Linked DNA regions of Alligator mississippiensis. The protein of the gene in region 1 interacts with the protein of each later gene in a pairwise test. Links are inferred from orthologs where the notes say so. Each region holds a gene or a part of one and is shown on either strand. Other genes may lie near its edges. The genes, in order: HOXA1, CHRD, FAM221A and RGS17.

Region 1 (7,478 bases):
TCATCGAGCGCGCACGCACGCACACACACACACACACACACACACACACACACACACACACACACACCCCCCAGGCTGGTGCGATGCCGCATACTGGGCGCTGTGGAAAGGACACACAAGAGTCCTGGCCTCAGCAAAATAATGAGTAGGAGAAAGGTCTTTTATTGAATAGCGTCTCGAAGGCCACGCCAGGAGAATAAGGAAGCTAACTAGGTAGGTGATCAATGACGTCACACATGCACTAAAACAACGTGTACCTGAAACTTGAATATATTTATTACAGACATTTTAGGACCCGTAAATTCTGCTCTGGATTCCATCACTCACAGAACCGCAGAACCTTTAATGATTGTAAATCAGAAAGATAGTTAGCTCACAAATGACAACTGATAGAACTCAGTGTACCTTCAGTACATCAAAGCATTGTGCATCATGCAAAGTTCCATACACGAATCACAGAAAATATACATTCATTTGGCCAGTCATCACATTTACGATTAGGCTGAAAAGACATCAACTCGAAGGAAGGATTACTTTGAAAATAGGAATAGGTGAGGTCTTTTGGGGGGGATAAAATACCGTTTTAGGTCCAATATAATCCAGCACAGATTTCTGGAGGGGGAGGAGAGGGGGAGCACACCAGTAAGGTTTACAAAACCTAGTGCAATTGAAGCCTTCTTCTGTCTCATAAAAAAAAATGGTGCTACAATTCGAGGTATCTGATTGCAAATTTAACTGATATCATCAGGTTTACCATTATAAAATTGGATCCAGTTTTGAGAATGTACCCACCCTGCTTAATCTAAACATCATTTCTAGAAAATCTGTAAAAAGATAAATCTCTTGGACAAAGTATTTACAACCAACAAACCCATACACACGAAAAAAGAGAACGCATTAAATTAATGGATGAAAGTTCTATAACTCGTGTAAACACTTTCAATAGTGCATCTCATCATGAGGTCATGTACTCTCGATAGCTTTGTGTTTCTGTAGGGGAAAAAATATAGAAACATCCTTGCAATTTGGCTCTCCGGAAACAGGGAGACCCTTATAAATGTGCTAAGGAGACAAAAAAAAAAAAACAAAAAAAACTCACAACTCCTGCTGGAATGTAAGGAATGAATGTAGGACTAGTTAATTAAGTGGTCATCAAAAACTGACATTAGAACCCATTGTGTTTAGCTCTGCATTAAATAAACAGCCGAGGGTATTTCTAAACCCAAATGCTCACGGAACAAGTTATTTGAACGTCAGGATGACCCGAATATTTAAAAATATATATTTACTTTAAATCAATGAGGGTACGCTAAAGATGTAGCTATAGGGTGGGGCCCAGGGATGTGTCAGTTTGAGGTAGTAAGGACGTCTGAGGTAGAGGAGGCTGGTGAAGGGGTGCACGGGGATGAACTTGACTTTTCTGATGACTCTTCTGCTTTCTCCTCGCATCCCGTGGGGGTAGCCGGGGAAATGGGTAGCAAGCCCTCCTTCTCCCTTTTCTTCTGCTTCATCCTACGGTTCTGAAACCAGATCTTCACCTGCGTCTCGTTAAGTTGCAGCGAAGCAGCGATCTCCACCCTCCTGGCCCTGGTCAGGTACTTGTTGAAGTGGAACTCCTTCTCCAGCTCCGTGAGCTGCTTCGTGGTGAAATTGGTCCTCACCGTGTTGGGCTGCCCCACGTAGCCGTACTCTCCCGCCTTCCCTGTGAAAAGCATAGGGCAAGTTTAAGCAAGTGCGATGATTTAGAGGTGACATAATCAATGTGTACACACGGGCAGAGCGATATGGAGCAGGAACTCCTCGGGATGCGGGGGAGCCCGGCAGTGAGTGATGGAGTGGGTCGTGCTAAGCTGGAGCCAGCCACTAGTGTCAAAGGAAGCCTGATGAGTGGGCTATGAATCGCAAGACATATTACCACGGGGGCGGAAATAAGAGCCTGGACTGTCATGATGGCAGAGGGGTGAACTTGTCCGCGCTGCCTTGCCGGAGATCTCCTTACCTGTAAAAAAAATAAAAATCCAGATAAACAGCAGGCCACGGGGAGCACAGGTGCGGGGGGGGGGGGGGGGGGGGGGGCGCTCTGCCTTGTGTCTGCTGCTCCAAAACAGAGAGAAAGAGGAGAGAATCCCCCCACCACCACCAAAAAACAAAACAAAACAAAACAAAACTTTGATTGCGACTGACCTGTTTTAGGTGGGTTTCTTTTCACTTTCATCCAGTCAAAGGTCTGCGCTGGAGGCGAGGTCTCTGCGGAGGGGGAGCGCGCGGTGTCCGGGTGGCTGGCGTGCAGAGGGGACAGGGGGTGGCTGTACCCGGCCAGGGGCAAGTTCTGCTGCTCGGCTCCGTAGGAGGGGTGCATGTACTGGGCGGGCCCCGCCGAGCCCGCGGCGTAGCTGTGCTGGGGGGGGTGCTGCTGGCCCACGGGAGGGGAGATGTTGCCCGAGTACAGCGCGGGCGCGCACTGGGGGTACCCGCCGCTGCCATCTGCGTCCTGGCCGAGGGAGTAGGGGCTGTACCCCGCGCTGAAGTTCTGGCTGCCATATCCCGGGCCGCAGCTAGGGTGCGAGTAGGACATGCCCAGGCTGCCGGGGTGCTGGTAGGCGCCCGCCTGGGGGTGGTGCGGATGCGGGTGTGGGTGCGGGTGGGGGGGGCTGATCTGGACCCCCCTGCCCACCAGGAACCGCTCGTCCCCTGGGCTGCAGCCATTGGCACTGACCGCGCAGGACTGGAAAGTTGTAATCCCGTGCTCGGGGTGGTGGTAGGCGCGGGCGGAGCAGGTCCCAGCCTCCCCGCTCAGGAGGGGATACTCGAGGAAGGAGCTCATCCTCGCCGTGTCCATCTGTCACGGAGTGACCGGGTCTTCCGCGCCCCGGGTGCCCGTGCCAACTTTCTCACCTCCTCCATGGGGCCAGGAGAAAAGCGAGATGGATGCACAGGGAGCTGGGGACACGTGAGGGCCGCAGCCAATGGCTGCGCCTCCTGCTAAACTTTCCCAGCTCCTGCTGGTGATGGATCACCGTTTCAGTGGCATTTAAATCCCGAGCGCTCCTCCATCAAGGTGACGCGCAGCCACCACCACCTCCCTCCCCCGCCCGCCCCCCCACTCTGTGCATTGGGGCTTCCGAGCCGGGGCCGGAGAGACAGTGCGCGCCCAGGCGCTCAGCCCGCAGCAGCCTCCGGAGGGGGGGCGCGGGGGGGGCTGCTCTTGCCTGGATTTACAGGGCTGGAGGACGCCGCCTGCCAGGTAAGCCGGGGCCGCTGCGGGCCCCCCGCTCCCCGGGCGCGGGGCGGTGCGTGGTTGCTATTGTTGGCGCTGTCAGTGCAGCCAGCACCCCCCCCCTCCCCTCCCCAATCCTGCGGCAGCCTCCGCGGGGCCCAGCTGGCTGGGGCAGGGGCTGCGCGCAGGGCAGGGCGGGGGGGGGGAGTGTTCCCGCGCTGCGCCGCCAAGAGTTAAAGGGGTTGCGCAGCCCGCGGACATTAGCATGGCAATGAGGCGCCTGGGTCATCGCACGCCATTGTGCTGCGGGAGGTGCCTGGCAGCCCGCGGGGCTCCCTGTGCCCGGGCAGCCGCCAGCTGCAGGGGGGCTGCCGACGTGGCCGGGCCGGGCCGGGCTGTGCCACGCTCAGCCCCGCAAGCGTGCACACGCACGCCCCAGCCCAGCTGCCGGGGCAGCTCCGCGGCGCAGACAGACGCAAGCCCCGGATGACACGGCGGGGCGGAGGGGAAGGGGAAGGGAAGGGAAGGGAAGGGGAGGGGAGGGGAGGGGGGAGCGGGGCCCCTGTCAGCCTGCGAGCCGCTTTGTCATGGGGCGGGAGCGCAGGGAGCCAGCAGATGGTCAGTGGCGGAGGCTCCCGGGGGACGCCCCCCCAAGATGGGCTCAAACTTTCCCTCTGTCCAGCTAGGGAAAGCCGGGTCCGTGTGCGGGGGTGGGGATGGGGACTGGTGTGTGAGTGCGCTACCACAGGCACATGCAGACAAGCAGGGCCCAGGTGCCGTAGATCCACGCGTGGGTGTGGATACCTCCCCTGCCTGTGCCTGGGCGTGCTCAAATGCACACGCGGGGAGAGGACCCCTCTCCCGGCCGCAGCCCCAGGGAGATGCGTAGAGAGAGATGTGCCCTGGGGGAGGCTGCAGCTGCCTCTTTGCCAAGTCCGCCCTGAGGGGGGGGGGGTTCGGGGGGAGGGGGCATGCAGGTGCACTTCAGCCCTGCCTTATTTTGCCTTGGCCCCCTGCCCGATTGTTGGTTTCACTCTCAAAGGCTCCTGCCCCCTGGCTCTCCCCCTCACCCACTACCCCCCACACCCCCGGGATCGGCTTTCCACAGCCGTCTGTGCCCCTGTGCGGCCACCTCCGCCCGCCGCCCTGCACCCCGCAGCCCCGCTGTTGCCACTGGGAAGCGGGTAGATGTCTCCCTTCCACCCGCTAGGCACAAAAGAGCCGCCCTCCCCCTTCCGGGCTGCTCTCCCGCACCGCCATGAACAGGCCAGGGCCGCTTGGAGCCATTGAGTTGCTCAACACTCTTGGCTTGGGGGCGGGGGGGCGAAGCAGGGGATTCCCTGAGATGCACGAGGCGGCCTGCACTCCGCCTCTGTGGCTCCAGAAAAGGCTGGAGGGGCACTTCCTCTGCCTGCCCCAGCTGGGTGGAGATCAGGGCAGAGGCAAGCCACAGGGACCGCTTACTGGAGAGCTGGCTCCCCCCTACCACCCCAGGCATTACCCCGCTTTTCATCACTTGCTACCCCCAAGTCCCTCTCTCAGCTGGACACCCCCGCCGCAGCCCGGCTGCCTTGCCCTCGCTTTCCTCGCCATGGTGGGGAAGAAATCCGCCCTTTTGTTACATTGTGTCTGCTCCAGCGCGGCACAATGAGGTGGGGGAGGCAGAGTAGGGGCAAATGGAGACAAGCCTTCAGAGCAGGGCTCTATGCCAGCTCTGTTCCCCCTTACGCCGCCCCCAGCCTCACCCTAGATCTCAGAAGGTTTCGAGGGGGGCATCTCCAAGCCACTGCTGCCCTCCCGGTGCCCTAGGCGCCACTCTGACGCTCTCCCCATTTCACCTCCCCACCCCCCGTCTTTTGCCCCCAGCGCCCAGGCAGCTTTCAGGGCTTCCCCGGGAGACAATCGCTCCGCGGAGATGTATTGATTTGCAAAGCGATCGGGGAAGAGAGTTCAGGGCGGCCGATCTCTCACTAGGACGTGGCCACCTCCAGGCCCGGGGTGCCTGCAGGGCATCGGTCCAGTGGGAGCTGAACGAGTCCAGCTAAACAGGAGTTAAAATCCTCCCCCCAGGCGAGGGAGCGAGCCCCTTTTGGGCCGAGAGAGCCGGAGCAGGGAGAGGGAGCAGGAGCAGGCCGGAGAGGTGTGCCGCACCCGCAGCCCAGCCAAGCTGTTGTTTTAAAAGAGCAATAAAAATGAATTATGACTAAACGCCTTCTAACTTAATGGTTTTAGACGGGGATCCCCAGCCCCGGCACATACGTAAGAGGGTTTTTATTTGTGCATGTGTTCCTGCAATTGATCTCTTTGATGACATTCTCATTCAGAGAGAGAGTTTGATTTATGAGGCTAGGAAGGATCGCGGCCAGCCCTTCTAGGCATTACCCACGCGACCCAGCTCCACAACGTGTTGCAGAGCGGGGAAACCACCCTCCTCGCAGGCAGAGGACATAAAGTGCCCCGCGCAACTGGACGCCTCGCCGGCCAGCTCTCCCCGCGCACAGACACAACACACGGGGATCCGCGCCATCGCCTGGCTCTGGGAACCGCAACTCTCCCTGCCACCATCTGTTGCTTGATTTTTGGCCCTAGCACTCTCGGCTGTGTTAAAAATATCGACGGGTCTTCCAATGCAATCCTCTGTGGGGGTTTTATACCGCGCCACGAATGGGGCAGCGGGCTGCTGAGTGGGCTCCATTGAAATTTAAACGAATGAAGCAAGAGTTTGGCAACCGCAAAGAGGTTTATGGAGAAAAAGCCTCCTTCCCTGCCTCCGCAGAGCCCCGGGAGGAATCGCGTTAGCACAGTCTACAGCCTTCCGAAATGCAGTCCTATCCCCCCCACCCCCAAATAATAACACTTGTATTTTTTTTTATTTCCTTTTTTTTTTTTTTTTGTAGGTTTGTTTTCTCGGACGCGTTCAGCACATGGGAGCTAAGCAATCGCGCACTGTGCTTGTATTTTTAAAGAAGTTTTCCTTAAAACGAATTGTTGGACGCACGGAGGTTTAGCTTAGCAATTTCTAACCCAGCCTTTTACTACAGCAAGAGGCCAGTGTCTCTAGCAAAGCATTCCTGCCATTTCCTATGGATTACATTTGGTCTGTAACGGAGAGAGCTGCACGTTTGTTTGTTTGGGGTTTTTTGGTTTTTGTTTTGTTACAGTCTAGAAAACCCGAAATTTGTATTCACACGCAGATAATAGAAGCTCTTCGAGATATGCCCAGGTTAAAAGGAGGAAATTGTGTAAGCTTTGAGCGCAGGCTTTATAATAATAATAATTATTGCTTGTAAGAATCCTTTCAATAAAGAATTGGAATGTGCTTTTTCTCTCTAATAAATATGTCACTTTACCAAAAGGAGAGAGGTTGTGAGCGGATTGTTTAATTTTATTTCCGAAGTTAGATTAGGAGGGGGAGGAGGAAAAAAGCAGCAGCAGCAGACCCGTTAGACTACCAGTGGTGAGGAAGAAAGAGGGTGGAAGAAAAAGAGAAAGCTACTTGTAGCAAACAAGAATTTATTCTACCAAAAATACTTATGACAACGCATCCTAATGCAATACAAAAATAAAAAGAAAGTGACGATACAATTCTATATGATCACTTTCTTACAGGCCTCAGATATTGCTTTCATAGAAGGACCTAGGATGTGGCTAGGTTAAACTGAACACAACTAAAACTCCAAAAGAAACGGTAAAATGGCTCTCAAACACAGCAAAGGGAATTAAGAAACAGAAAATACTGACCAGGAAAAAGGAAAATAAAATTAAGTCATTTCAAAAAGGAAGGCAGAACCCTTGGCGAGAGGAGGTCTTGACTTTTCTCAGTAATTCAGGTGCTGCAAGTCAATTGTGGTGAGTGTGTCTGTAAAAAAGTCAAAACTGTCAGCAGAGATATCTACAGGACTGTCCAGAGATCCTGGCAAACTGGGGGAAACTGCATCTGAAAGCTGTAGGCAGGAATCTGTGGAGAAAACGTTAAAGTCCTGTAAAGAAGGGACATCCAGGGCCTCAGGACTGTCATTGTTCAGGCCAGCTGCACAGTTCTGGGCCATTGTTGATAGGCAGTTCTGAACAGTGGGTGACTGATGCTGAAAATGTTTCAGATTTTTCTCATTGCTTGTTAAAGGCGAAACTGGGAAACTTTGGGACTCTCCATTGTGTACATTCTGAGCCTGCTGTTGAGATAGTGCATTTTGCTGAAAAGTGTAGCCTTCCCTTTCCAAAAGAGCCCCTGAGACATTATTGAGGGCTTGTTCAAAGAGGG
Region 2 (7,269 bases), on another chromosome or scaffold:
ATGCGGCTGGGGAAGCTTGGGAGCGAGTGCGAGGAAATAATAAAATCCATGTGTGACAGACAAAAGGCAGCTGCTCCCCCCACCCCCGGTACCTGTTAGCCCCCCCCCCCCCTTGTCCCCCTCCCCTCTCCTCCTTCCCCCCCAGGGTCTTTGTCTTGGCCGCCAGAGCCCAGCTCCAGTTGTGCAAATACTGCGGAGCTCGCCATAATCCCCACATCCAACGTGAGTTATGAGATGTTTCCACAGATCACAGTGAGCCAGGCTCTGGGGACCAGGGCCTGGCCTGGGCGACCGCACACCGCAGGCAGCCAGCCCAGGCTGGGCCGCAGGGAGGGGGGATTAGTCATGGGAAAGCTCATCCCAAGGCTGGGGGGGCCTGGCACTTTCTCCCCCCCCCCACATGTGAGTCACCAAAGGAGGTGCTGGAAGCTCTGGGCACCCACAGGAGGTGCCCCCAGCCCCCTGCAGCTGGCCCTAAGGTGCAGGGCAGGGGCAGAGGGAGCCAGGGTAGCCAGGCTGGGTGCTGCTAACAGGACTGGTCCACTGTTGCCCGGTGTGTTCAAAGTGCAGCAGATGCCAGCAGACAACGGGGGATGCACAGAGCAGGGCTGAGGGCAGCAGAGGTGGGCACAGAGATGTCTTCCAGGGGGGCTGGCCAAAGGAGGAGGGATCTGGAGCAGCGCAGAGCTGGGCCATCATAGTCCTAGGTGGAGAGTTAACAGCAAGCCCCAAGCTCTCCACCAGGTGCAGGAGGCTGTGGGGGCGTGGCCTCTGGAAATAGGTGTGGCCACCACCTTGGGCAGGGCTGGTTTTAGGTGGGGGGTGGGGGGTGCAGCACGCCCGTACCCGACAGGAGCACCCTGGGGCAGCTGTAAGGCAGGGGCATGGGAGCTTGCATCTTCCCCTTGCCACTCGCCAGCCCGCATGGCACAGGGACTCATGCCCCTCCCAGCCCCCTCCCCAGCGGGGGCACCGGTGGGGCTGGTCCATGAACTCCATGCAGGCCCCGCTGTGCCCAGCCAAGGCACCGCTGGCGCCTGTTTCCTCACCACCCGCACATCAGCTGGTGTCCTGCAGTGACAACTCACGGCCAGGACCCGCCAGCTGCCACCAGGCACGGATGTGCTGGGTGCAGTCTGGTGTAGCCAGGCGAGGCTGTCACAGCTGAGCATGGCCCACCACACCAGCCTGCTCTCGGTGGGGTGGGGTGCTGGGGCCAGGGAAGCAGGCCAAGCTGGGTCCTGCTTGAACTGGCAAAAGGAGAAGGGCCTCTTCTGCTCTGCAGTGGGCATTGCCCCTCACGCGCCAGCCCTGGGGCACAGGGGTGCCCCCAGCATACCAGGCTCCCTGCAACATTGCAGGGGAAGAGCTGGAAGCGGCTCCCAGCTGCAGCACTGCCCAGAGCTGCAGGCGGGAGGGGGGGCTGGGGGCTGCTCTTATGAATGCAGCATTATGGCTGTGACAGGCGCAGATACAGCCTCCTGGGGACACCCCCCCCCCCCCCGCCCAGCCCCCCGCGGCTCTGTCAGCTCCCAGCCTCTGCAGCAGCTGGAGGAGTTTGCCTGGATTCCTGCCCCCTGCGGCTCCACACCCCTGCCTCCTCACTGTGCTCACACACACATGCACACACACACGCACACACACGCCAGCTGCCTGCTCCGGGATAGGGTGGAAGCAGTCGGCACGTGGTGCGTGGTGTCTGGCTGAACCAAGGAACGCCCCCACCCTTTTTTTCCCCCCCTGCTGGAACAAAGGACCCCTCAATCCCAGTTTCACCCCCTGGCTCGTGAAGGGGCTGTGGGCAGCTCATGCCCCCTGGTGCCTCAGTTTCCCCAGCTGGGGGGCTCTCAGCTCCCATGCAGCCCCTCCAGCCTTGGTTTGCAGCCATCAGTGCAGGCCCTGAGGCACATTTGGCTGCACCGTGACAAGCGCTTGGGGAGAGGTAGGAGGCAATGCTTTCTACCCACCCTGGCTGGCCAGAGACCCCAAGGCATGCCAGTGACAAGGGTCTGGCCTCAAGTACTTACAGCTCCATACTATAGCACCCAGCTGTCCCCCTGCCCCACACCAGCACCCCCAGACTAGTGAGTCTGGTTCAGGGGCTCAGTCCTTAACCCCTAGGCACTCCCCAGCCCGGGGGTATCCCGAGGGGCCTCAGGTTGCAGACACATGACATTTATTCCTGATTAGTCTCAACATCAGTAAAGCGGAGGGACAGCACATGGCACTGATGCTGGAGTAAATGCTGGTCTCCACTGTGACTTGATTTCTGGGGAAGCCAGGAGGAAATTTCCATTTGCCAGTTATCCCGGGATAAAATGCTGAGTTATCCCGGGATAAGTGCTGTGACAGGGACTGTGCATGGCCACTTCCCCATGCGGGTGAAGGAGCTGTGGTGGGAGCTGGCTCAGGACAGTGGATGGGACCCAAGGACCCTCCCACACCACAGCTCCTTGCGCTCCAAGAGCAGGGGGCACCATCCAGCTTGGCCGAACCAGCACTGGTCCAGAGCTGAGCCCTCCAAGTGGGGGCCAGGATGGGAATACCAGCACGTGACAGATGTGGGTCACAGGGCTTGCGGGGTCAAGGCAGTGTAAGGCCTGTAGGACCAGCACAGAGCAGCCGTGGGGTGAGGAGCCCATCCAGTGAGTGATCGGAGTAGATAGAGTCAATGGTGAAGCCCCAACTGCATTCCTCAGCTTAGAGCTGGCTCATGGGGAGCCCCTTTCTCTGGCCCAGCAGAGAAAGTCTGCCTCTGTCTTGGCAGCAGGCATCTACCCATGCCTCGCCCCCGGGGCCAGCACCCACGCACCTGCTGGCTGGCTCCCCAGCACCGCTGCATGGAAGGGACCCAGGCATCCCCAGGCCCCGCGCCCGTGGCAGCTGCCTCCTGTCAGCAGCAGCTTCCCTGGCTGCCCGGCACAGCTGGCCGGCATGTGTGTGCGGATCCACGTTGATTTTGGCAAGGCTTCTTGGAGCGCGCTGCATTGTCCCAGCAGCACAGACTGCCTTGGGGCTATGCACCCTCCCCTGGCAGCCCGGCCAGCCAAGGGCTAGCACCCTGCACCCCCAAAGGGTGGGTCCAGTGGTGGGCTTGGGCACAGCCCCCCAGAGGGCCAGGGCACAGGCCTGTAGCAGGGGCTTAGGGTAGGGATCTCACTAGGCCTCTTGAGTTTTGGCTTTGGGCTAGTGCTGAACTACCCTGCCAGCCCTGGTGCCCAGTGGCTGGCATCTGCTGTGTGCAAGACAAGGGGCAGCCATGTCCCCCCTTACAGGCTGCAGGACCTGGTACAGCTTTGCCTCAGGGCCAGGGGGCTCAGGGGGACCCTGGCTAGCGGTTGTCTCTGCAGTGCTGATAGCCAGGGGACAGCTCCTAAGCAGCTGGGGCTGGGCTGGGAAGGGGCTGGGTTCACCTCGCCTGTGTCTCCTCCACAGTCAGTGCCCCCTGCTCCCTTCGAGGGCCCGCAGGGCATCAGCAAGGAGCCCTGGCTCCCAGCAGGAGATAGCGCTGGCCCCCGTGGCTGCTCAGGGCAGCGCCCACCCCCTTGTGCTGCGGGGCCGGGGCCGGGGCCGGGGCCGGGGCCGGGGTCGGGGCCGAGGCCGGGGCCGGGCTAGCGGTGCGGGCAGCTCATCCCGCAGTCCGTCCGGCCCGGCTCCTCGCGGGGAGAGCGGTGGAGCGGGGCAGGGGCGCCTGCGGTGAGGCGTCGGGGTGGCCGGGCCGGGCCGAGCCGGGTTGTCCTGGGCTTTGGCGATGTAGAGGGTTGCCGTGACGTAGAGGGGATCTGGGGTGCGGTGACGTAACGGGGCCCCGGGACGTGGAGAGATTGCACGGGGCGGTGACATAAGGGTGGGGTTGGGTGCGGTGGCACGGGGGGGTCCCAGGAGCGGTGACACGGGGGGGTCCCGGTGCAGTGGCGCAGGAGGGGGTCCTGGGTGCGGTGACACAGGGGGTCCCGGGTGCGGTGACACAGGTGGGTGTCCCGCTGCTGTGACGCAGGGGGTCCCGGTGCGGTGACATAAGGGTGGGGTTGGGTGCGGTAACTCGGGGGTCCCGGGTGCGGTGACACGGGGGGGTCCCGGTGCGGTGACTCGGGGGGTCCGGGCGAGTGCAGCGCTGTGCGGGGTCCCGGCTGCGCCGCCGGGCTCCGGGGCTGCCGGGGCAGAGGCAGAGGCAGTCCCGTCCCGTCCCGTCCGGTCCCGCGGCTGGTGGAGCAGCGCGACCGCCCCGGGGGGCCGATCCCGCTCCGCTCCGCTCCCCCGCTGGGCCCCGCGCCCGGCCCGGCCGCAGCCTCATTCGCGGAGCCTTTGTTTGCTGACGATCCTGGGCTCTGCGCTGCTGCCGCCGCCTATAAAAGCCGGCGGGGGCCGGGGCCCGGCGCAGCCTCCCCGCCTCGCCCCGCCGGACGCCTGGCTCCCCCGGCCCGGCCCGGTCATGCCCGCCGCGGCGCTGCTGGTGTTGGGCGCGCTGCTGCCCCTCGCCCTGTGCCCGGGCCCCGGCCGCGCCGCCCGCCCCAAGCCCGCCCTGCCCATCCAGCCCGACGCGGAGCCGCTCCCCGCCCGCGCGGCGGCAGGTAGGAGCCCCGCAGCCCCGTGCCCCCGGGTGCTCGGCCGGCCTGGCACGGGCGGCACGAGGGGAGGGATGCCCGCTCCGTGCCCCGTGCCCCGTGCCCCGTGCCCGGGGCCGTGCGCTCAGGGTGCGCTCCCGCAGGCTGCTCCTTCGGCGGCCGCTTCTACGCGCTGGACGAGTCGTGGCACCCGGACCTGGGCGAGCCCTTCGGCGTGATGCCCTGCGTGCTCTGCTCCTGCCAGCCGGTACGTGCCGGGCTCCGGGCCGGGGGAGGAGGGGGCGCACGGACCCCCTGCCCCGGACGCTTGGGGTCGGTCCTCCGTGCCCTGCGGAGCCAGGCGCAGCCCCCAGGCCCCTCCCCATGGCTTTCCCGCTCCGGGTCCGGGGCTCCGAGGGAGCAGGGCGCGGCCAGCCCCCAGCCCCAGCTCACCCCCTTGCATCACCGCACATGGGACCCAGCCCCAGCCCGCCACCCTGCATCACCGCACCTGGGACTCAACCCCAGCCTGCCCCCCTGCATCACCGCACCTGGGACTCAACCCCAGCCTGCCCCCCTGCATCACCTCATGGGGACCCAGCCCCAGCCCACAGCCACCCATCACCGCCCGGGGACCCAGCCCCAGCCCACCCCCCCCGCATCACCGCGCGGGGACCCAGCCCCAGCCCGCCACCCTGCATCACTGCACCTGGGACTCAACCCCAGCCCACCCCCCCCCGCATCACCGCGCGGGGACCCAGCCCACCTCCCTGCATCACCGCACCTGGGACTCAACCCCAGCCTGCCTCCCCTGCATCACCGCGCAGAGACCCAGCCCCAGCCCGCCCCCCTGCATCACCGCACCTGGGACTCAACCCCAGCCCACCCCCGCGCATCACCGCGCGGAGACCCAGCCCCAGCCCGCCCCCCTGCATCACCGCACCCGGGACTCAACCCCAGCCCGCCCCCCTGCATCACCCCGCGGGGACCCAGCTCCGGCCCAGCCCTGTTCATCCCTGTCCCAGCCTAGTCCAAGTCCTGTCCCAGCCCACCCCCTGCATCACTGCACCCAGGATCCAACCCCAGCCCTGGCCAAGCCCGGCCCCAGACCATCCCATCCCAGCCCCAGCCCCAGCCCCAGCTCATGGAGGATGTGCAGCCCCATTGCATTTCACCTACCCCAGCCCCCAGGGCTGCAGCAGGCAGCTCCCCCATCAGGCCCTCTTCACCCTGGAGAGGTGGGGAAAGGTTGCCCCTGGGTCCGTGCTGCCGAGGTCTCCTGGAGCAGTGAGGTGCCCTGCCATTTACACGGGCACATGCACACACGTATACACATACATGTGCCTGCACCCACACATACACTCATGCACATACCTGCACACCTGCACAGGCACATGTGCACATGCATGGATGTATGTACACATACACATGCACACACACGAGTGTGCACACATATATATGCATCCATGCATGCACACACCCTGCCTCCCCCGCAGCAGGCAGGCTCCCTGCATCCTGCCCCCCACAGCCCCCGTGCACACACCTCTCTCCCCCTGCAGCAGAGGAGCCGCCGAGGGAAGGCCACGGGCAAAGTCAGCTGCAAGAACATTAAGCACGACTGCCCCCCCCTGCCCTGCAGCGAGGCTGTTCTGCTGCCAGGCCACTGCTGCAAGTCCTGCCCCAAGGGTAAGGCTGTGGCTAGGAGGGGATACTAGGCATAGGCCCTGGCAGGACCGGGCCAAGCTGGGCGGGGAGGGAGCTGTGGCTATGGCTGTGGCTGTGGCCATGGTGTGGGCTGAGGTGTCCTCATTTCTCCCCGTGGAGAGAATTTCCCTGTTTGTTTGGGTCTCACAGCAACGGGAAGCGGTGACCAAAGACATGTGACGGGCCAGCCCGCCAGCACAGGCCAGGAGTTGGGGCAGGGGGTGACTGCAGGCACCGGAAGGCCTTCCCTTGGAAACCACCCATGGGGTCACAGCCAGGGGTGGCAGGGTCCCTGCCCCGAGAGAGGGTGGCAGGAATGCACAGGGCAGCAGCCTGCTCCTTCCCCCCCATGCCTACCTGCCTCCCACCCTGGATGTTATAGGGCCGTGGGCTGTGGCTGGCTTATAGGCAGGAAGGCCAGAGAGGCATGCATTCCCCTCCTGAGCCTGCCCAGTCCTGGCAGGACAAGCCCGGCACAGCCCTGCCTTTCACTGTGCCTCAGTTTCCCCTCCATTGCGCTAGAGGCACCAGTCCCTGACCCAGAATGTCTCCTCTCCCCTCAGCTGAGAAGAGCCGCGAACCACCCCTGGATGGCTTTGAGAACTTCCAGGACAAGGACAGCTTGCACAATGACCGCTCCTACCTCAACACCGAGGACCTGGCACGGGATGACAGCCGGGCAGGTAGCTCCGGCCTGACCAGGGTGCCCATGGGCTGAAGGCAGCTGGGATCAAGATGGGGCTGAGGCAGGGGCAGGAACAGGAACAGGTGCTGAAACAGGGGCTGGCCTATTACTTGCAAAGCTGAGGCTAGGAGCTCCCAGCCCTGGCATGCAGCCTGCTCTGGTGCCACCTGAGAGGGGGGGGGTGGCATTCTTCAGGTGCCCAGACCTCCATGCCCGCCAGTGCCCCTCATGCACTGACCTTGTCTCCCCCTGCCACAGAGTTTGTGGCCCTGCTCACCAGCGCCTCACAGCCTGAGTCCGGCGCCGTGGCCAAAGCCAGTTTCACCCTCGTGCGCT
Region 3 (6,939 bases), about 2.5 Mb from region 1:
TTTTTTTTTTAATACCCATTTACTAGGGATCTTGTAGAAAGTGACAGAAATGAGTATCAACAATTGTATTTGGTAGCTTATCTGAAGTTAACCCTACTTGGGCTCTGTCATGACCCAAAGGTCTGATTTTTTTGTGTGCGCTTCGGCACTAAGAATTATCCCCGTGGGTTTACAACTTCACTGCACGGAGGAGTTCTGCTGCGCAGAGAACCCGTGTGCAGGGGAGTGTTCCCGCCACTTTGCAGCGATCTTTGCAGGGTGCATTTCCTCTGCAATACAGAAATGCATGGTGCAAAGGTTTCCCGCTCGTCGTATGCAAATTTGTGCCCCACAATTGGCTAGTTCTAAATTATTCACACGTGGCGGTTAGCGATTGGCCTGCTAGCCGTATAAGAGGCTTGAGCAGTTTCCGCCCAAGCCGAAGAGGACTCCGCATCCATCTCGTGGGGACTCTGGGTGTGCGCGGCAGGGTAATAGAAACCCTGTGTGTCGCTCAGAGGGGTTTGGCGGCCTGATCCACCGCCCACCTCTTCCCGTCTTCGAACGGAGCCTACTATAAGACGTAACGACGAGTTTAATGCGCGCTTGTCCTGGACATCCGGAGTTTGTCTGCGTGGAGCCTAGCAACCTCCACGTGATTGTTCGTGTTTTGTCTGCGTGGAGCCTAGCAACCTCCATGTGATTGTTCGTGTTCTGTCTGCGTGGAGCCTTGCAACCTCCACGTGTGTTCGTGTTTTCTGTTGTAACCGCAACTCAAGCAAGTTCTCAGCCTACACCACGACCATCTCGGTGTAAGTAAAATAATCTTAAAATCAACCGTTACGTGTCTGTGCCTAATTCTAGCTCGGCGCCCGCCCTCTCCGACCCGGCCTGCCCGGGCTGCTGGCCACAGCCCGTGTGCAGAGCGACGAAAGCGACCTGGGGTCAGACCCGGCGCGTGCAGGCTCTAGGCTTATAGAGACTTGCAAGCTAAACCACGTAAGAAGACCTTCAAGAAAAATCCACCTGCTGCTGATTCTGTGTTTAGGTGCCACTCTTTTCTCCAAGTATGATTCCCTATATAGGGCTTTTTCACTCGAGCTGCTGGAAGAATCATGTTTTATAGAATTCTGAAGTGAAGGTCATTGTCAGTTTAAGACACTAAAAAGACCATGATTCATTTAAGAAATGTCTATATTGAATTCCAGTTTCTGTATTTGCATTTGGGATCTCAACATTCCTTCCTGAATTTGAATTGGATATTGTCTTTATTTACTGTTCAACACTATCCAAAGGTAGACTGCATTTCAGCTGTAAAACAATTTTGGCACATAAAAGGCTCAATAACCATGCTTATGTGCAATCCTGTCTACTTGTTGAGAGAGTTCCAAGTTTACAGGAGTGTGTATAAGGTGCCTTTGAAGTAACATTTCTTGTCTAAATTACTGATAAAGGCAAAATGGCTTCTGAGTGACTACAAATGTTTTTTTTTGTAAAATGGGCAGACAAAGAGAAGTATAAGACCTATGAGGAAGCATGACAGAATATTTTAGAGAGTACATAAAACATGGGAAAATGCTTAAAAATTTCACATCTTCAGAACCTGATACTTGAAAGATGTGAATAAAGTTCTGATAATTCAGTTCTTAATGCTGAGTAAAGGCAATGGTATTCTTTTTTTTATAAATGCTTTTCTAATTCATAAAATGAAATATTTGGATTGTATTAATGATGTGGAACAAGTTTTCAATTAGTGCATATTATCCTATTACCACCACAACCACACACCTTTCTCTGAAAAAGGGCCTATTTTTTACACTAGGAGCTTTGCATACAGAAACAAAATCTGTCTAATCAACTAAGGGAAAGATTCACTTGACATAAGTCAGTTTGCTAACAGTCATGTTGTTAACTTCAATTGCCACAGTTACAAACTGTGACTTGGTCTTCTGTTAGTCAACAGAACAGTTCTATTGACTTTAAAGGACTGTGGGAATCAGGCATGAAAAACTGAACTGTTTGTGCTTGTAGTGTTTTTCTTTTACACAGTAAGCTCTTAGGGTTTTTCTTTTATTGTATATGGCCAAACATGAATCTGTGAATTGCCATACATACCTACCTGATCATGAGCATGGATTTAGTTAGGAGTGGCAGTTACCAGAAAAGCTAAAATCCTTACAGCCCATGTCAGTTTTGGAGTTTAAATATGGCTGGAAATTTAAAAGCTGGAAAAAAACAGTGATGACAATTACACACTATGCAGTCTTATCTACACACACAGCTTTCGTTGTGATGTTACAGTGGTACCCCCCCACCCTCCTTTTTTTTGAAGGAGGCTTATACTAGGACAGCCTTCCTGTACAGGAAGAGGAATAGGAACAACTCAACAAGGCTGGTTCACCTTTATAGTAATATAACTGTGCCCATGAGTGGATCTGGGAGTGCAAGTGGTATAGTACATCCTCATGTATAACAAGGTATCCTTTTCTCAAACTTGGAGAAACTGGACATTTTACTAATAAGCTAGGGGCAAAGGGCTTTATTTTTTCAGTTTAAGATAAGAGCAAAATAAATAAATATGTCCTTGGAATGTGCATTCATTTGTTATATCATTTGTATAAAAATAATCAAGGTAAGTTACTTCATTAGTGCTGCAGTCATTAGAATTAAATGGACATATTTTTCAGATTCATAAAACAAAATCTAGCTTCCTTGAGACTCTTGATAGCGTATCCACTGCTTGACTGACTGCTACTTACATACCTGAGTAAATGTTCACCTGTGTTAACACTGTCACACCTGAGTTAATGTTTTTAGCTAGAGTTAAAAACAGTCTGCAGGACAGTGAAATAGGAGATACATTACCAAGAACCATTAACAGAGAGCAAAATTACATAAGAAAGACTTGCTTGGCTGAACACCAAGACCTTTATAACCGAGAGAGGGTCATTAACACCTGTGGAAGGAAGAATTTAGAAGGAATCAGGTAGATTTGTACATGAAGTCAAACAACTCCCTCAGTGTCGCCTCAATGGAAATGCTGCTGCCACTGCTGGGCAGCTGATTTTTTACTTTGGGTGGAGCAGGAATCAACTGCACACCCACCCAACGCTAGAGCTTTTACTAGGGCAAGGCTCCTTCTGGTGGGGGCGTGCTTTCTTTTGAACCAACAGGTTATTCTGGCAAAACGTCTGGTGCAGGCATACTTAAAGCAGGCTGACATCACGCATTCTGCTGGCCTCCTGGTTTAGTTGGGGGTCCTTGCGACCAGCAGAGATGTGCCGGCAATATATCCAGCTGTTTTTTGCTGCTGCAGCCTTTTTTGTTGAGGTGGGAAAAAATTGTGCCAGCAGCAGGAGCGCTGCTTGGGGTACAAGTTGTGTCTGCTGTAGGGCTGCTTTATGGCTCCCGAGCACAGCAATGTGTGTGCGTGCAGCGCAGTGCAGGCCCGTGTGTGTGTGCGTGAGTGTGCAGCAGTCAGGACTCTGTGCGTGCGTGCAGCAGAGTCAGGGCTGTGTGTTTGTGCGTGCAGGACAGCCAGGGGTGCGTGTGTCAGTCACAGGGATGGCCCCTGGTGTGTGGGTGTCAGAGCAGTGTCCCCTGGAGGGTGTGTGGGGGGGTGTATGTTTGTGTATATGTAGCACAGTCAGGGCCGTTTGTGTGTGAGCATTGACCCTGGAGAAGGGTGTGTGTGTGTGTGTGTGTGTGTGTGTGTGTCCGTGTCCCTGGAGGGGTTGTGTAGCACAGCTGCAGCCCCTGGCGGGGAGGGTGTGTGTGTGTGGAGATGTGTATGTATGTGCGAGTCCCAGGGACGGCCCCCGTGGCGTACGCGCGTGTTTGTGTCACAGCGATGGCCGCGCAGGGGGGAGGGGGTCGCGTGCCCGAGCGCGTGTCACAGCAACGGTGCCGGCGGGAGGGCGGGCGGGCGCGCGGGGCGCTGTCTCACGCCCCGCCCCCCGCAGCGGCCGGGCCATGGAGCGGCTGCGGCTGCGGCTGCAGCCGGGGGCCGCGGCGGCGGTGGAGGAGTACGCGGAGTACCGCAGGTGAGGTGCGGCGCGGCGCGGCGCGGCGCGGCAGGGGGGATTTGCTGTCGCCGCCTCGCCCTTACTGCCGGGCCCGGCGCTGCACGCGCGGTTCCCGGGTTTCTCTGTTCTTGCAGTCGCTCCGAGGGCGCGGGGGCGGCCCGGGCCTGGGGCCCCGGGCATCTTTGTCGGGGCAGGGGGCAGAAAAGAGCAACAGCTCGGGCTGGAGAAAGGCTGGAGTGCTGCTCGGGGAGGCTGTGGGGTCATTTGTGTCACGTCTGCCTAAAGGGTTGATGTAGCCCACCCCTCCTGCTCCAGGCAGGATCATCCCGATCCAAACGGTCTTATCTAAGTGCCTGGCGAACCTGCTCCTAACGGTGGGCTAAGCTGGAGCCGTTATCTAGGGACCTCCAAAATCCCAAGACCTCCCGGCTCGTTCTCTTCTGCCCAGTTGGTATGATTTGGAACTGATGTGGCTGATTTGACTTGGAACACAAGGTAGATTTAACCTCCCCCCCATACAACCCCCCCCCCCTTAAAATTTATGCACGCCCTCAGGCCTTGGGCCTGCAGGTAGGATGCCTGCCAATGGGTTTGGGAGTATTTGAAGCCCCAGGTTGGAAAGTGGGGGTGGAGGATACTTGCTGGTTGTAGCACCACAGATGGTGTTTGAATGATTGAGTGTTGCTCAGTCAAGAGGATTCAGAACTGACTTGGCTGATTTGACCTGAAATACAAAGAATTTTCCAAAAAATCAAATCAAAACCCCTCTTAAAATTTACGCACAGTAACCCTGTCAAACCACAAGGCAGTTTGCCCAGAAACACTGTCAATGTCCTACTGCTGCAAGGTTGTTAAAATACGTTCAAGAGGTCGAAGGATTCAAGATCACACCCCACAATACAGAGGAAGGCAAAAATCCCCACGGTCCATGCCAGCCTGACCATGGAGTCAAATTCCTTCCTGATTCCAAAGGTGGCAACTCTCTAACCAGGAACCTCTGGCTTTCAGTTCCAGTGTGAGCATCAAGACACCCCTGTCAAAATCTGCCTTGGCTTCACCCAACACCCAGTGCTTTTGAGGAAGGCAGACCCGCCACCCAAAAAACCTCCAAAAATTCCTACCCGGACACCTGTAGCAGCACGAGGGGAAAACATTCCTTGACAGCCCCAGGTGGCAACCAGCACAGCTCTGAAGCGCAGGGAAAAAACAAACACCAAGTAATGGATGTTCTAACATGAGAATGAGTACCTTTTTCTGCTGCCATGTATAAGCTCATTTTGTTATTTCATCACATGAGAAATATTGGAGATGAAAAATATGTTTCTCTTCCATGCCCAGGCCTGTTTGTATGTTGCCTGCCTGCCTAAGATGATACTTTTGTATTCCAGAAATACAAGCTGACACACATTTTGACCTATTTAAAAATATATGCAATATGGAGTCTCTATGTATGTTTTCATCTAGACTTCATCCCATTAAAATGCTCACTTAAACCACATTATATAATGACTTTCTATTGTAATAATCATATATGATATGATAAATTATACAGTATTATCTTAGTTTAGTAACACTTTCAATAAAATACCAAAGGTACATGTGATTATTTTTATACAGTCATTTCTACATACATATCCAAAGGGCTTTTTAAAGGTATGTAAGTACTGATATCGTTACAATATGCCAAGTGTCTATTATAACACCATAGTACTGATGGGTTACACTTCTGGTGCAGACACAGGCTATGCCAACACGAGTTTTTCTACCCCCAAAGTTAAATCAAGTCCCCTTAACAACAGAGTAATACCTTTCTCTGCCAGCAGTGCTATATCCCCAGCAGGGTTTTTTGCTGGCAGAGCTTTAATGATTCTGGGGTGTAATCTTTTCATGCCCCTAGCAAACATAGATCAGCCAGCAGGCTTTGTAGTATAAATCCAAACAACTCTGTAAGTCTTGAGTGTTGTAATGCAGTCTGGATTTTCTCACTCAGCAGAGGGGTTAACTTAACTGTCGTAGTTTACTCTGCCCTTAAGATGTAGATTGATGAAGTGATGCACCAGAGGTCACACACAAGTCTAAGACAGTGAAGTAAAGATCCCTGGATAACTGACAACTCATCCTTTGTTTTCTTCTGTACAGGATAAAACTTGATAGCCTGCATTTCCCCCTTTTCTTCTTTCCTTCCTTCTAGCTCCTCTTAAAACACTTTTCAGATGATGATAGCAAATTTATTTAACAGCCTGGCCCTGGGCTGAGAATGTGTCTAAAAGCTCAAGTATATCTCTAGCATGGTATTGTGGGAGATACAGTTTTTAGTGTTATTTCAGGAGTTCTCAAACTTTGTGATACTGCAACCCCAAGTGCTGGATGGTGACAGCAGGGGACAGGGAGCTCGCGTGGGGCAGCTTCTGCTACCATCCACCACTCTGTACCATTGCCACACGCTGCTTCCCCGCGCCACTGCGCATACCCCCTTGGGAAGTTTGCAGCCCCCTTTTAAGTTGCTCACGACCCCTCCAGGAGGTTGCAACCCACAGTTTGAGAACCTCTGTGTTATTTGCTAGTGCATCACTGTTCATAGTTCTCAGAAGTGTAACTTACTGGCATTTGTCTTTATTTTAAAAAATCTTCTTGGTTTTTCATAAATAATGATGTATAAATGTTCACAGAATTGTAGGTGAGGATGATGGAGGAAAACTCTTTACTCCCGAGGAATATGAGGAGTATAAAAGAAAAGTGTTACCAATCCGGTTACAGAATAGATTGTATGTGAGCTGGAGATCACCAACTGGCATGGACTGTAAGCTAGTGGGCCCAGAGACACTGTGCTTTTGTACCCATAGGTAAGTTGTTTGGGGGTTTTTTCTGCCATTTTTTAAAGTTGAGGAATGTAAATCATTTAAGGATAACATTTTAGTGCATTACAGATAACTTG
Region 4 (7,782 bases), on another chromosome or scaffold:
CACTGGAACGGGTTACCTAGACAGGTGGTGGAATCTCCATCCCTGAAGGTTTTTAAGGCCTGGCTCAACACAGCTCTGGTTGATCTAGTTGGAGGTGGTCCTACTTTGAGCAGGGGGTTAGATTATATGACCTCCTGAGTTTCCTTCCAACCCTAATTTTCTATGATTCTATGACCTCAGGATTTTGGTGGATCACAGACTCGGAGCCAGTAATATAGGATCATAGGAAACTAAGAATAAAAGGGACCACAGGAGGTCATCTAGTCTACTCCCTGATTAAGGCAGGATCATCCCTGACGAAACCATCCCAGCCAAGTGTCTGTCTAACCTGCTTTCGAAAATTTCCAGGGATGGAAATTCCACAACTTTTCCAGGTTGCCTGTTCCAATGGTCAACCACCTTCATAATCAGAAAGTTCTTCCTGATCTCCAACCTAAATGTCCTCTGCTGCAGCTTGAGGTTACTTCTCCTAGTTCTGTCCCCTACAGTCACAGAGAAAAGCCCATCTTCATCCTATCCATAATTGTCTTGCACGTATTTGAAGGGTGTTATCAAATCCATCCCCTCGCCCCGGGTCTTCTCTTCTCCGGACTAAATAACCCTAATTCTTATAGCCTTTTCTCATAAATCGTGTATTACAGACCTCTAATCTCTCTCTCTGTTGTTGTTGTTCTTCTGCTCTGCTGAACTCTTTCCAATCTGTCTACATCTTTCTTGAAGTGTGGAGCCCAAAACTGGACACAGTAATCCAGGAGAAGTCTCACCATTACCAAACAGAGTGGAAGAATCACTTCCCTTGATTTACAAGAGATGCTTCTGTTAATACAGTTTGGTACATTATTGGTTGTGGTTTTGTTGTTCCTAGTTTGTTTTTTGAAACAAGAGCACACTGTTGGTTCATACCGAGGTTATGGTGAACTGTAACTCTCAGGTCCTTTTCTGTGGTACTGCAGCCTAACCAATCATTCCTCAGTCTGTATTTGTGTATCTTAGACTTACCTTTCAGAGGATCCACCCAACCCAGTATCATCTGCAAATGTGCCAAGTGTGCACTCAGTCCAGTTGTCCAAATCACAAGTGGAATTTTACCCCATGGTTAGATTGGTATTGACTCCAGGGGGTCTCTACCTGGGATTTCTTGAGTGTATATTGACATTTTATACAAGCATGACATTGGCTGCCATGGTTCTCCTGCTTTACTTGTGGCAGGTTTGCGTGTTAAGTCTATGTTGTGTCAGGGTTGAGGGTAGTTTTATGTAGAGTTTAGATTATGATTATATGGGATGTTTTGGATAGGGATGATCCTGCCTCAGGCATGGGGTTAAGCTACATGATTTATAGAGGTCCCTTCCAGCCCTACTTCTCTAGGACACTATGTTTAATGATATGTGGCCCAGAGTCCTGGGGAACCCCACTTGATACCTTCTCCCAACTAGACATTGAGCCATTGATAGCTACTCATTGGATGCATCTACACATGTCAGTATGGTGACGTTGTTACTGTGCCATGATTTAGTATTTCCAAAAGGAAGTAACAGCCCATACTGCACCGTATGTACAGCGCATGCTTATTTTTAGCAGCTACTTTGCCGTAGCAGCATGCTATACTGGGGGAGCATGTCACTTTGGCAAAGTAGCTGTTGGTCATGTGTAGATACCTGCAGCTGCTACATCACCATAGCACATTGCTACTGTGACATAGTGTCATATGTAGATGCACCCAAAGAATAGAATATTCCAAGAGTGACTTGGATGAGGGCATGGAGAGCATCCTGTCCAAGTTCGCAGATAATACCAAGTTATAGGACAAAGTTAACACACCAGAGGGTAGGGAATGGATCCAGGCAGATCTGGACAGGTTGGAAAAATGGGAAGAATGAAATAGGAAACAGTTCAACAAAGACAAGTGCAAAGTGCTGCACCTGGGCAAAAAGAACCACCAACACTTACAGGCTAGGGGATGACCTTCTCAGCAGCACAGCAGCAGAAAGGGATCTTGGAGTCATAGTTGATTCCAAGATGAACATGAGTCGTTAATGTGACGAAGTGATGAACAAGGCTAACTACACTTTATCATGCATTAACAGGTGCATGACAAACAGGTTCATGGAGGTGATGCTTCCCCACTCTGCGGCACTGGTCAGGCCCCAGTTGGAGGCACTGCATCCAGTTTTGGGTGCCACACTCCAAGAGGGATGCGGAGAATCTTCAGAGGGTTCAGAGGAGAGCCACTCATGTGGTCAGAGGCCTGCAGGCAAGGAGAGACTGAGGGACCTAGATCTCTTCATCCTTCACAAGGGAAGGCTGGGAGGTGACTTTGTGGCTTCCTATAAATTCAGCAGGGGAGGGCAGCAGGGAATAGGAGATACTCTATTTACTAGGGCACCCCCTGGAGTAACTAGGAACAATGGCCACAAATTGCCCGAGAGCAGATTTAGGTTGGACATTAGAAAGAACTTCTTCACAGTAAGGGCTGCCAGAATCTGCAAAGGGGTTCCAAGGGAGGTGGTGCTCTCCTCTACCCTGAGGGTCTTCAAGAAGAGACTGGAGAAGCACCTACCTGGGGTCATCTGACCCCAGTGCTCTTTCTTGCCCAGGGCAGGGGGTTGGACTCAATGACCTACTGGGGTCCCTTCTGACCCTAACACCTATGAATCTATGAAACCAACCAGTTATGGATCCACCTTGCAGAGCATTCACCCAGTCTGCATCTTAGCTGATTCATTAGAATTTTGTACATCAAGGGTTAACTTTGAGGCCATTCCCGTTTGTAGTCATTATGAATGTGTTTACTGAACAAATAAGATGACCACCTTGGAATGTGGTCTATGTGGATGACATGGTCATTTGAGCTGAGAGTCTAGAGGAAGTGCAAGCTGTATTGGACCGATGGAGAGAAGTGCTAGAGGGAACAGAAATGAAGATTAGTCTATCCAAAATGGAATATATGCACTGTGATTTCTCTTAGGTACCTGATATGGGAAATGTGATAACTGATGAAAAACATGTTTGAAAAGTTGACAAGCTCAAGTAGCTGGGGTCAACCATTCAGCAGAATCCAGTTAGATGAAGAGCTGAATCATTGAATAAGGGCAGGGTGGACAAACTGGAAATTGGCAACAGGAATATTATGCAACAGAAGAGTATCAGTGAAGCTGAAGGGGAAAGTCTACAAGACATGTGTATCCAGCACAGAAACATGCCCCCTGAAGAAAGCTCAAGAAATAAGACTGAACATGACAGTATGGGTGAAAGGGATATGGCTTCAATCAATTATTTCTGACAACTGAAGTTGAGGTGGTACACGTGGAGGCCCTTGAGATTTCAGTCATCTGTGCTGCCCTTTTGTTATTTAAAAATGTAGACCAGATTTTCACATCTAGGTATACAACTCAAATACAGGCATTTAAAATTAGGCCCCAACATCCTTATTTAGGCATCTATGCAAACCAACTCTGGTGTCTGAAGTGCAGAGCAATGACTTTCATATGCTTAAGTTCTAATCACTAGGAATCTGTGGCGTCAGTGCCAGGATTCAAGGATAGAGTCCAAATGATTATAACTGTTGTTCTCTGATAATTGGATTTGGGGTTTGGAAAGAAAATACAAGTGATGCCCATGCTTTTAGGAGCATTAACTTTATGGGGCTGTTTCATTTCAGCTGTGGTAGAATCAGAACAGTTTTGGCCTCATTTTCTTGTAGTGCTATACCACCACAATTTATTGGGATCTCAGTTATTCTGGTGGAATAAGAGGTGCGGTGTGGATGTTAAATAGAAGGAAGATATCCAGTCAGCAGCATTCAGGTTCCAAATTAACATTTTTGCACCTTTCTCCTATTATGATGTGTTGAGAGCCAGATTGTTTTGGTTGACTAGTAGAAGCAACATCTGTTGTCTGTTTAGATGCTAGGATTCCTAGAATGGGAGTGGGATTCAACAAAATCCAGAAGCCAAACAAGTGTTTCTCCAAAATGGGTGCACCGAGGCATATCAGAGTCCAGATTTTTAAGGTGCAGTGGGTATAGTAAACATGTGCTCTATTTAGACAGTGGCAGCTGTGAAACTCAGGCAAAATAATTGGCAACATCGTCCAGGCTTCAGAAGCTATCGCCACATGTTTACACTCCTGCTTCAACTAGATGTGTTGCAGTCTGAAGCACCCACACTTCTCTGTGGAGCGTGGGTGGCCAAAACGGTGTCCAGGGGCTGGGTCCAGGTTTGGGCAGCATTTGCACTGAGGTGCATCAAGTTTGGGGCTGTTTTATGTGCGTGCAGCAAAAGCAACAGCTAGCCTTTCTTTCTCTATTTGCACAATGGGGGAGGGACAAAAATAGGTGGCACCCAGGTAGGGCCGAGCCTTTGCCTTTTCCAGTCGGGATGCATTCATCCATGATGCCCGTTTTCCATTTCAAAGACAGAGAGGGCAGCTGTCCTGACTCGCCCCTGGCATCTATTTAAAGAGAGAGGTTGGGAAACATCCCACTGATCCATCACGCATCACACCAGGTGTCTTCAAAAGCCATCCCTGTAATCCAGCCTGGCTCGTGCCCGCCGGATCCCACGGGGCTGGGACCAGCATCGCCCAGGCTGGACCCCTCCCGCCTGCACGGCTCAGCGGGAGCTCCCGGGGGCCGGGGCTGGGGCCGGGCCGTGAGTCACAGCCTGGGGACAAGCGGGGAAACTCCAGCTGCTCGGGGAGGCTCCAGCGCTAGTGGCAGAGCGCATGTGCGCCGCCTGCCTCTCCTCTCCTCTCCTCTCCTCCCTCCTTTCCTCTCTCTCTCTCCCTGCCGGCTGGGTGCTGAAGTTGGGCGGATGGCAGCAACCCAGCTCCGCTAGGACCAGCTGCACCAGCCTTTCCCTGGGATCGCTCCGTGCCAAGCGCGTGCGTCCAGGCGGGGCTGGGTAAGATGGACTGGGGCTGTTTGTTTGGTTTGGGGGGGGGGGGTTCTTTTTGTTTTGGGGGGGGTGGGGGGTGGATTTGAACCTGAACCTTGGGAAATGACACCAAAATGTCTGCTTGCTCCTGGTGCGGGGGGAAAAATAATAAATTAATAAATACAAGAGAGATGGGGAGCGGGGGGAGAGGGTAAGGGATGGAGGGCAGCTGCAGAAGCACTCACAGGGGGGACTGCCTTGGGTGTGTGTGTGTGTAAAAGGGGCAGTGAGCAATGGATCGGCGGCTGAGACTGCAAGTGTGTGTGTGTGTGTGTGTGTGTGTGTGTAAAAGGGGCAGCGAGCAACGGATCGGTGGGTGGGTATGGGGGGGGGGTGTGAGTGTGCCTGTCGCTCCCCTGCACGGATGCACAAAGGGGCTGGGTCCCGCGGCTCTGGCGGCGGCATCCTCCCCGGTGCCCGCGGGTGCTGGCGCTGGCGCTCCGCGGCGCGAGGGATCCCGGCGAGGGGCGGTGATGGCCGGGGGCTGCAATGTTACACCCGCCGGCTGGCACATCCTCAACCAAGGCTGCCTCTCGCCCTCCCGCATGCCCCCACAGCGGCTGCAGGCTTCGTGCTTGGGTCGGGGGGGGCGAGGAAAGCCATCCTGGCTTTCAAACGGCAAGGAGATAAGAGAGATGCCCCTTGCCTTTCCTCCACTGCCTCGCTTCCTTCCCCGCGCAGGGGGCCCGGGCTGCCTCCGGATCGCCCACCCCGGCGCCGGGGATCCGGGGCCGGGCGGGTCCCGGCCCTTCATTGTTAGCATCCAGCCGGCCGCGGCTCGAGCAGGGGGCCGGGAGGGGCCGGATCCGCGCCCCCGCCCCCGCCGGGAAGATGTCGGAGGCTGGCGGAGGCCGGCTGGCCGCCCCCGGCCCGGCTGGCAGGGAGGGAGGCATCCCCGCGAGCTGGGCAGCGGTGCCCGCCTTGCCCGCGGCCAGCGCCCCGCTCCCGGCACCTCCCGGAGCCCGCACTCCGCCTGGCAGGCAGGCGGGTTTCCTCCCAGGGAGGAGCTAGTTTCCCCTCTGATCCCTTCAACCCCGGGTTTCTTTTTTTTGCGAGAAATGCTGACCTCCCCCCTCCCTTGAGACGCAGATGGAAGGTCCTGCCTAGCCACCTTGGGCTCCTGCAGCGCGCCTCCCTCCTAATGCTCTGGCCCAGCTTATTCCAGCACTGGTGTAAGGGCGCTTTAGAGCTCAGAGTTGGGGCGTCCAGGACTTTGGAGGGATAATTCTCCCCCCTCCTCCCCATCCTAAAGAGTGTGGCCCCCATGTGTCACCAGCACAGACCGGTTTATTGAGAAGTATTTAGGTATCCAGCTCCTATTTATGTGCCTAACTCCCAGTGATTTTAATGGGAGTCCTTTGCCTGGACACCTTGTTGAGCCATGTCTAAGATCTTTCTGAGCAATGAAAATGTGGGCAAAAATATAAAATAACCTAAGTGAATATTGTGATTGTATCAGATGCCAACCCAATAGCTCCAGAGATTGTAGAAACAACATTTACGTTTTCATACATCAGTGCATCAGTCTTTACCTTTGATCTTTAGTGACCTCAGAGTTTTTCACTGTCAGGGAAAATGGATGAAACAGAAGAATAGGCTGCACTGGAGGAAAGCTGGGGAAGGGGAGTTAGCGACTGGCTATGGATGTTATAGCTAAGAAAAAAATAACCAGCGCTGTGCAGCTGCACCAAGTGAATTCCCGTGTATTTCCATGAATGCTAATGTTATTATAAGACTTAAGAAATGTTTAGGTGACTTCAATTCTTACCCATTGAAGTAAACAGAGAGGAATTACCCCTAAACACTGGTAAGAAACATCATCTTATATCTTTGAAGGTATTGTTTTGTTGTTGTTGAGATATCCCACCCTATCCAGAAAGACTCAGAGCAGCTTACAGATGAACAACCCAAAAGATAAGAAACAAAAATAAATTCCCCAGTGGACACCCTAAAACTTTAAAACTCTACCCTATACCACCCATACCCATTTCCTGCATATTACTCAGGTGAGCAAATCCTCTGGCCCATTGCAGCCATGCTTCCCAAGACCCATTCTCAATTAGGTGTACAGAAACTTTTTTCTTTTCCTCCCACTCCTTGCCTACCCAGAAGCATAACAAGCAGAGTTGGTGCCCTGGGCAAGCCCTGGGGGAGAGCTGGGGGGGGTCATGTAGTTTCTGAGAGAGGGGGCACAGGTTCAAGAGTGGGGACGTGGTTCGCAGAGCAGTCTTAACCATGCTGGGGACTCTTGGCTGAGCTGCTGCTGCCCCTACCTCCGCTCTTAAAACAGCAGCAGCTGGGAAATTTTTTGGCCCTGGGCAGAAAACAAGCAAGTGAGTGAACTGTGTGGCTGCTCTTGCTTCCAGGACATGGACTCTGCAGGGCTGGGGGTGATTTCTGTGCCTTTCTTAACTTTTTGCCTACTCTCCCACCCCTAGATATAATACTGCCTCCACATGCACATCTGCCCCTACTCCCCTGCCTTACATCCAGGGGAGATACCCTCTCCTTCAATGTTCCTATCAAGTCTACTCCCCCAGTCTATCATTACTTGACCAAATGAATATCCACAATGTGCACGGTACCATGCACACACACAAGAGTGTGCAGGCTCTGCCCCAAAGAGCTTATAATCTAAGTACTAAGTCCAGATCAACAGAGGTATTTAGGTATCTAACTCCTATTTATGTGACTAACTCCCAATGATTTTAATGGGAGTCCTTTGCCTGGACACCTTGTTGAGCCATGTCTAAGATCTTTCTGAGCAATGAAAATGGGAAAAACTATAAAATAAATAATGTAAGTGAATATTGTGATTGTATCAGATGCCAACCCAATTACTGTA

What was found.
Region 2: the proteins of HOXA1 (region 1) and CHRD interact in binary tests that used the Homo sapiens proteins (3 or more experiments, as listed by UniProt). The link is inferred for Alligator mississippiensis from reciprocal best matches to the Homo sapiens genes HOXA1 and CHRD.
Region 3: the proteins of HOXA1 (region 1) and FAM221A interact in binary tests that used the Homo sapiens proteins (3 or more experiments, as listed by UniProt). The link is inferred for Alligator mississippiensis from reciprocal best matches to the Homo sapiens genes HOXA1 and FAM221A.
Region 4: the proteins of HOXA1 (region 1) and RGS17 interact in binary tests that used the Homo sapiens proteins (3 or more experiments, as listed by UniProt). The two-hybrid records come from large-scale screens. The link is inferred for Alligator mississippiensis from reciprocal best matches to the Homo sapiens genes HOXA1 and RGS17.

The regions. Positions count from the first base shown.
Region 1 is NC_081828.1:156,073,301-156,080,778, reverse strand, and holds HOXA1 (homeobox protein Hox-A1), read right to left. Parts: upstream 3,003-7,478; 5' UTR 2,840-3,002; coding exon 2,185-2,839; intron 2,000-2,184; coding exon 1,916-1,999; intron 1,703-1,915; coding exon 1,347-1,702; 3' UTR 255-1,346; downstream 1-254. Other genes in the region: HOXA2 (homeobox protein Hox-A2), read right to left, coding at 7,036-7,478. UniProt on the Homo sapiens protein: Sequence-specific transcription factor. Regulates multiple developmental processes including brainstem, inner and outer ear, abducens nerve and cardiovascular development and morphogenesis as well as cognition and behavior.
Region 2 is NC_081830.1:83,523,797-83,531,065, forward strand, and holds the start of CHRD (chordin), read left to right. Parts: upstream 1-4,268; 5' UTR 4,269-4,432; coding exon 4,433-4,571; intron 4,572-4,708; coding exon 4,709-4,812; intron 4,813-6,103; coding exon 6,104-6,230; intron 6,231-6,811; coding exon 6,812-6,931; intron 6,932-7,191; coding exon 7,192-7,269. UniProt on the Homo sapiens protein: Dorsalizing factor. Key developmental protein that dorsalizes early vertebrate embryonic tissues by binding to ventralizing TGF-beta family bone morphogenetic proteins (BMPs) and sequestering them in latent complexes.
Region 3 is NC_081828.1:158,549,429-158,556,367, reverse strand, and holds the start of FAM221A (protein FAM221A), read left to right. Parts: upstream 1-3,922; 5' UTR 3,923-3,951; coding exon 3,952-4,022; intron 4,023-6,673; coding exon 6,674-6,847; intron 6,848-6,939.
Region 4 is NC_081824.1:131,938,360-131,946,141, reverse strand, and holds the start of RGS17 (regulator of G-protein signaling 17), read left to right. Parts: upstream 1-4,771; 5' UTR 4,772-4,904; intron 4,905-7,782. UniProt on the Homo sapiens protein: Regulates G protein-coupled receptor signaling cascades, including signaling via muscarinic acetylcholine receptor CHRM2 and dopamine receptor DRD2.